2 linked regions of the Struthio camelus genome follow. The protein of the gene in region 2 interacts with the protein of the main gene of each other region in a biochemical or structural test. Links are inferred from orthologs where the notes say so. Each region holds a gene or a part of one and is shown on either strand. Other genes may lie near its edges.

What was found. The genes of interacting proteins can lie anywhere in the genome.
Region 1: the proteins of ITPR1 (region 2) and CABP1 form a complex in vitro, tested with the Homo sapiens proteins (2 studies listed by BioGRID). The link is inferred for Struthio camelus from reciprocal best matches to the Homo sapiens genes ITPR1 and CABP1.

Annotation. Positions count from the first base shown.
Region 1 is NC_090958.1:8,013,935-8,017,677, reverse strand, and holds the start of CABP1 (calcium-binding protein 1), read right to left. Parts: upstream 2,314-3,743; coding exon 1,723-2,313; intron 1-1,722. UniProt on the Homo sapiens protein: Modulates calcium-dependent activity of inositol 1,4,5-triphosphate receptors (ITPRs). Inhibits agonist-induced intracellular calcium signaling.
Region 2 is NC_090955.1:2,743,277-2,747,019, forward strand, and holds the start of ITPR1 (inositol 1,4,5-trisphosphate-gated calcium channel ITPR1), read right to left. Parts: upstream 2,679-3,743; 5' UTR 2,485-2,678; coding exon 2,459-2,484; intron 1-2,458. UniProt on the Homo sapiens protein: Inositol 1,4,5-trisphosphate-gated calcium channel that, upon inositol 1,4,5-trisphosphate binding, mediates calcium release from the endoplasmic reticulum (ER).

The DNA of each region.
Region 1 (3,743 bases), on a different chromosome or scaffold from region 2:
TGAACAGCCCTGCTACAACCTACTCCTAAAAGCCAGTCCTAAAATCACCACTAGATGGTCGTTTTCTCATAGTTACTTCAAAGAAAGCAAGTGACAGATGAATACAGACAGAAATGGGAATAAAGAGCGCTACACTCCGAAAGAAAGATGTTGGTGTTTGTTTATAAGCACGGGTGCTAGGTACTGAGCGAAAGAACTAAAGCTAGAATCATATCTGTCTCTTTTCTGTAAGTAGCATTGTTCAACGCTGGAATTAAATTTTGCTAAGTTTATGGCATTCAAAAGTGTCTCACGACTTTGGAATGCAAGCAGCAAAACAGGTAAAATAGCGATGCCGTTCGGTCCCGGCGCAGCTGGGGCAAGGACGGAGCTCCAAGCCAGACGGGGGGTTGTGAGGGGGAGTCCTGGCATGGATTTGTTCCTAATTCTGACATTTCGGAACGTACAGTGCCGGTTAGACTTAAAACCTTCTTCTTAGATGCACCTCACTTCTGTCAGAACTACAGGGACAGCAGAAGACAGAGCCGAGCCCATGGATTTCAAAGTCCGGTATCGAAATATTGCTTTTTGTTACCTAATTGAGCAGCTGGCCATTCACTAGACCCTTCCTTATTGCAACTACAACATTTTAATCTAGGCTTCTGGTATACTGGTGGCACAGAAGGGGTAATATTAGTTCCGAGTTAAACACAACAGTAACATTCATAAATCAACAGACTGTCACTGAGGATGCAAAATTATTGAGAAGGAGAACAGATGAGGTTTGATTTTTCTCTGGAGAAGTCAAGGTGAACAGAGGTAGACAACACTTTCTGAGACCAAACTAAATAAGACACGGGAGCATCATGTCCTTCCCCCAATTACAAAGATTCTTCTTGTTCACTCCATAATCATAATTTGAATGAGCATTCTGCAAAGCCTTCCAAACCAGCTTAAAAAAAACCCAACAACCAACAACAAAACCCACAAATCATAATTCTGGTTTAATCGATCACTTCCAGGGCTGGAACTTAGCCCTCCAGGCTGCTGGCTTATACCTATAACTGTGCTTCTGGGCGACTGCAGTTACATTAATCTTCCTGGAGATTACATCTCCCAGTAACATCCCTAAATGGCTCTAAAAGAAAATTTCAAGCCAGTCTCCCTCTGCCTTTTCATTTTCGAAGGGTAGCCCTGTTGGGTAATTTCACTACCAGAAGCAGCTAAAAACGACAGCTTTGTACCCAAAGAGCTTGCAAACACCAAAAGCATCTGTTCCATCCCAACGTAGTGACTGGGAAGGCTTCGGAACTGGGTCAGGATTTTTTTTGTCGTCTTCCTCACTACCTTCCCCTGACAGCTTCTGCCATCAGGAGTGATTCATATGCTGATTGTACAGAAATGCACCATAAGGAGATGTAAACAAATACAGCAAAGCAAGGCGGGGAGCCAGAGAGATGGAATCTAATAAGTAAATAGATTTAAAAAAAATTTTTTTTCGCTTCTCTGACTCTCACCCTCGCCAGGCAGAGCCACAACTTCCCCCGCCGGAGCCGGGGAGAGCACAGCGCGTCCCCCGGCGGCAGCCGCCCGAGGGCGGCCGGGCCGGCGGCGGCGGCGGCGGCGACGGGGACGGGGACGAGCCCGAGCTCGGCGGCGCCGCCGCCCCGCGCCCTCCGGCCGCGCCGCTGGCCCGGGGGAGGCGCGCCGGGGCGCAGCGCGCTCGCCGCCGCCGGCTCTTACCTGCCCGAAGACGGAGCTGAGCATGGGGCGCAGCTGGTGCAGGAGCGGGTCCGCGTCCGGCGAGCGGTCGCTGCTGCCCGACTTGGCGGAGCACTTGCTGCTGGGTTTGCACAGAGGCGAAGCGCCCTCCGGCAGCTTCAGGGACTCCCTGCTGGACCGCTGCCCGGCGCTGAAGGAAAAGTCCTCCTCCGCCTCCTCCCCATCGCCGTCCGCCAGCGGCGGCTGCTCCGGGGGGCGGCCGGGGCCGGCGTGCGGCGGGAGGCGGCGGCGGTGCCGGGATGTCCGCGCCGGCTGCCTGCCGCCGCCTCGCCTCGGCCCTCCTTCCGCCGGCTCCGGCGGGCTCTGCCCCCGGCCATGTGACAGCCGCCCCGCGTCCTCCGGGGCGCCCGGGCGGCACAGCGGCCTGCGGGCGCTGGGCTCCCCGGGGAGCGGCTCCCGGCCCGGCTCCCTCCCCGCCGGCCCGCCCCGGCCCCGGCCCCGGCCCCGGTCCCGGTCCCGGTCCCGGGGCTGGCCGCCCGCCGCCCTCCTGCCGCCCGCCGCCTTCAGCAGCGAAGTGCGGGACTCGCTCTTCGCCATGGAGGAGCCGCTCATCGCCGGGCCGCTAGAGCCGCATCCCCGGCCGGGCGGAGCGCCGCCGCCGCCGCTGCGGGCCGGGCTGCGGCGCGCCGCTCACGGCATGTCCTGCGGAGACCCGCTTAAATCCCGCACCGCGGCCCATGTGACGGCGCAGACAAAGGCCGCGCACGGGGCGCTCCGCGGGGGCTGCCGGGCTCCGGCCCCGCCGGGCTCCCCCCGCGCCGCCGCCGCCGCCGCCGCCGCCGCTCCAGGTGAGCCGCCGCCTCCCCCCGCCGGGGGCGGCGCGGGCGGGGAGGGTCCCCGGGGCGGCACGGCGCTGCCCTGCGGCTCAGCAACACCCCCCCCCCACACCCCCCGAAGAGGCGCTGCCCTCGGTTTACCGGGCGGGGAGACCCGGCCCTGAGGCCCGCTCCTCCCCCCCGTCTTGTCCGCCGGGGAGGTGCTCAGCGCCCCCGGTGCCCTGCGACTCACCCCAGGGCAGAGCCGAGGAGGCAGGGGGCTGCGGGGTGAGCCGGGCGCCCGCTCCGGGAGCGGGACCAGCACGCCGGCACGCCGCCGCGCGCCCTGGCCCACCTGGGCGCCCTGCCTGCTGTGCTCAGCCTACCCAAGTGAGACCACGGACGGATACTGGCACGATGGGTCAGCACCCAAAGGCCTTACCATTGTGAGAGGGCTCAAAGCCTTGATCCAAAGCCCCGATTTCCCGAAATGCAGGAGCAGAGGGTCAGTGGGCAGCCTCCACCTGTCCGAGGCAGCACACAGGGGACCTTTTGGTCCAGCCTGTGAAGCAGACATAGAGGTTCCACTAGGGCCCAACATAAAATGATACAAACATAAAGGAGTTTGCATCTAAAAAGCAGATTACTTAACTTCTTTGTACTCAAACACGGCTATTTATTTTAAGGGGCGATAGGTAGGCTATAAAGTTCAATAATCATGCTCTGCTTAAAAACAGCCGCAGGTACTGGTGTCAAATCGGACATGTTCCCAACGAGGAAAGCCTCCGGCTCAGGCAGCGCCTGTGCCTCGCTGCCACACTTGGATACCTCAGCAGTTTACGTCCCCAGAAAGAGGAAGGTGTGATTATAGCATAATAAGCTTACTCATGCTAGCTCTGCTCTTGCCGGCACATGCACAGCAGTTACTGTGTGATGACACAGTCTTCAGTGCAACAACCAAAGTGCAACTTCTCTCTGCAGCCCGGGTCTCGCTCTAGCCCGTGCTGCTGAGCCTTCGCCACCGCAGCTGCGCACGCTGGCGGGATCAGAGCCACCGCAGCGAGCGGGTTGTGCTGCAGCCCCGGCCTCAGCGTGCGCTCCGTCCCCTCCGCTGCGGGCTCAGCACACGCAGCGGCCGAGCAGAGCTTCCCCACAGCATGCCCCACATCCGTCCGCAGGACAGCAAAGAGGGGCGCTTGGTCCCTCTGCCCCCTTCCTGCTTTGGGC
Region 2 (3,743 bases):
GTCCAAGTGTTCGAAGCAAACGGGATTGGGTCCTTAATGTTTCTGGTTTAGGCCTAGTAAGCTGACATTTCTTGAATGCGTTCACTGACTCCCCAGATTTTGGTGAGAGTCAGGTGCTTAAAACACTTTGCTAAAACCAAACTTTATAACAAGATTACCTGATCAAAAATTTGGCTTTACAGGCTTGGTCCAAAGTTGCTCTTAACTAAGAGATTTTTTTTCTAACGATTTCAATGCTTTGGATAGGACTCTAGCATGAGGTATCTATTTTTACAGGTGCAGCTAACTTTTTAAAAACTGAAACGAAAAATTGTTTCCCATCCTTATTTTAAAAGATAGGAGGTTTCCTCCCTAAGGGCTATGACAAAAGAATCATAAGCATTCCATCAAAACAGCCCAAGAGGAAGTGCTCCATGCAAAAGATCATCCAGCAAATAATCACTCTTCTGGGGCTGCAGAAGGAAACACTGTCCTTTTCAAAGCTTCTGATTTAGCAAATCTAGAAGGGGCTCTTGGCATACATGCACACAACATGGAAAGACAAATACAGCACAGTTTGGGTGACAGAGCAAAAAGGCAGTTGGCTCCTGACAACCATGGTAAGGGCCATACAGCAAGCAGAATAGCCCAGAAAAGTTCATTAACTCCTTAGTTGAACACTAGGTCAACAGTAGAGCGAAATTCAGAAACTTCTCAGACACCAACACTGTTTACAGCGCACGGAAGATGACAACGGCACAGGGAATCACAGGCACGCTGTCTCGAACATTAGATTTTTTTCCTTTCTCACCCTCGCATGCTTTCAGTCGGAAGTAGCTAAGAATTGTGTGAAGTATTGACAGGGTTATGTACTGCTAATTTCACGCACATGTACGTACACTTTGGAGATTACATTTAAAAAAATATAAACTTGGTATGTTTATCTACCACTTGATCTTGTTTTCCACTTACTGCTACCTTTCATGTCCAGGAGCCTGCTATCTGCAGACAAACTGTCATTTGATGAACGGGTAGATTAAAGAGGAGAAACGTACTTTCACAGAGAAAGTATTTTTCTTCCTAATGCTTAGAATGTAGCAGATTCTCCAACAGTTTGCAGTCTAAATAGACAAGACGGAGAACGTGAAAGAGGGGAAGGAGGAAGCAGCACAGTGCTATGACTTACTCAAGGTCATGCAGGAGGTTAGACTCAGAGCCTGGATTAGGATCCACGTCTCCTGAATCCTCATCCACCACTCCATACTGCCTCTCCTCTCTCAGGAGGGAGTTCAGCCCTATTGCACTTCCAATCAAGCATATTCTTCTCTTTCATTGAAAGAGGTTAGAGGAGGCAAGTAAATTCATACAGCGAGATGGTGGCTAAGTTAATTATGTTCTATTCCTACTGCATGCCACGTCACAGATAAACTCATTTTTTATAGTTACCCTACAAATGATGAAGTTATTCAGAAGTGACTAGTAGGTGCAATAAAAGTCAGCTTAAAAAAAAAAAAGAGGAGAGAGAAAAGACATAAAGCAACTCATTTTGTTAACTTAAACCTGAATGAATACTTAATACAAATAAGCAAACATCCGTGACATCCTTTTCTCCTCAGAAAGGATGCACACATTTCTTGATTTGTCCAATGCAACCAGATAGGAAAATAGTCACGCCAAACTTACAGAAAGTTAAAGTTGAAAAGAAAACACCCATAATTGCGCTAAGCAGAAGTTACACTTTGACAGACATATCTTATACAGCAGCCATTACATTGATATAATAAACGCAACTAACAGATCCTCATTGATAGATATTTGAAGAAAGCCAAAAAAACTACTGGGGGCACGCTGTCAGGAAGAAAAAAAAAATTTTTTTTTTAAAGTTTCAGACCAAGTACGACCTGATAGCAAATTTTCAATTCTATTAAAACTAAGAAGCACTTCAGTAAGTATCAACTTCTGAAAGTTGATACTTATTGGCTCTCACCCTGAGGGGAGAAAGCAGCTTAGACGCCAGCCTCTGGACGAGGCCCCTACAAGCACACTGTTTTCCAGAATATTTCTGTTAGAAGGAGAGTGTAGGAACATGCCAAAAGAACCCGGGCCGCCAATGTCATGGGGAATGAGAGCAAGCTTGGTTTATAATATCTACTGGAGTTTGGCCAAAGAAGAAAAGTGGCCAGGGAAGAAGAACGTACAGAACAGTCCCAATTTCATTTTGCATGGCCATATATCTACTGAGGCTTCAGCACAGAATGCTCTATCTCCTACAGCCTCTTTTGTCAGGTATGAGCCCCCCTGCTACCTCACAAGATGCAAGCTCTTCAGCAAATGCAATACTCCCTAAATTTACCAAAGCATTTTCCTTTTGTCTGTCAGTCTCATTAGCCCTCTGTTCATCTCCCTCTGACTACCTGCCCAATACTTGCATCCTTCCCATGCCCTATACTCCCCAGTTCTTCCTTTGCCAATACTTCACCTTGGTGGGGGTTCTCTGGCCTCCATGGCAGTGTTTGAGCCTTGTGCTGAGACTGGACTCGGCTGAATGGCTCCTGGTAGCTTCAGGTCCCTGCCAGTAATGAAATTAATGCTTTTCCCCTACTAGCAGGTCTCTTCTGTTGAAGGCTTGCAAGTCCTCTCTCGTCCTCCAGCTACAGCAACCCTTACGAGGGTTAGCTCACTGGTCTTCCTTCCTAGATACCTCAGCAGGCATCTAGGTCTGCAGTGAAAAACCTAAATGCCTGTGAGAGGCAGCCAAAGAGGAGGAGCCACTACCACCACGTGATTAGCACGTGTGGAGAACCACTGGTGGCCAGGGGACCTACTTTGAGCCCTACTGATCTAAAAAAAGCCCAATCAAGTTGGGCTCCTTTACAGATGAAGCCTCCAGGTTCCAGACTGACTTGTACATGTTGGTCCCCCAACAGTAATTTTCTAGAATGCAAACATGAGTCATTCTTCTGAAGCAAAGGTTCAAAATACTGCACCAGCTTAGCTCACAAAGAACATCAGCAACTGAATCTGCTTAACCCTTACATACGGAGGAGTGACCAAGGACTGTTGAGTTATTTTAACCATAAGATGAGTTAAGTTTTCAATTAACCCTTTAGACCAAGGATCATTAGCCAAACCTGAAAGGGTTAGGTATCTGTCTTTGTGTCCATGAATCTCCTGTTGGAATGGGATAGAAAGGACATATCTGGACATCACACTCACGCAATCAGTGCTTTTTTCCTCAGAACTTCTTGGTAGATTTCTGAAGAAGAAGATAGGATGTGCCAGGGTAGAGAAGAATTTTTATTTTGTTATTTTATTTTATTACAAAACCTTCATCCTAAATTGCTACTAAAGAATTCCTGGAACAAACAAACAAATAAATAAAAATCAACCAACCAACCAGAAAAAGCTAGTCTTCTGGCAGTGGCCGTTTTTTGACCTACTTTGGTCAGACACACTTCTTATCCACATATGCACAGAGATTACCGTCTTCTAACTCCAGACATCTTGCACAAGACAGGGATGATGAGAGAGAGAACTGCTTATGTATACATTATTACATCTGGATTCAATATTCAGACTTCTTTCCCTGTAACTTAGTAGCAGATTACTCCAAAAGAAGAATTATCATCTAATGTCCTAATCCAGAAAGTTGCTTCATTCGGCCCTCAGTCTGCTCAGAGCTATTTACTATTCTTTGCTACTCTGTTCAGTAGAATGATCAATGAGGTATAAACACTAAGCTTTCTGCAATGCTCCTTATATTA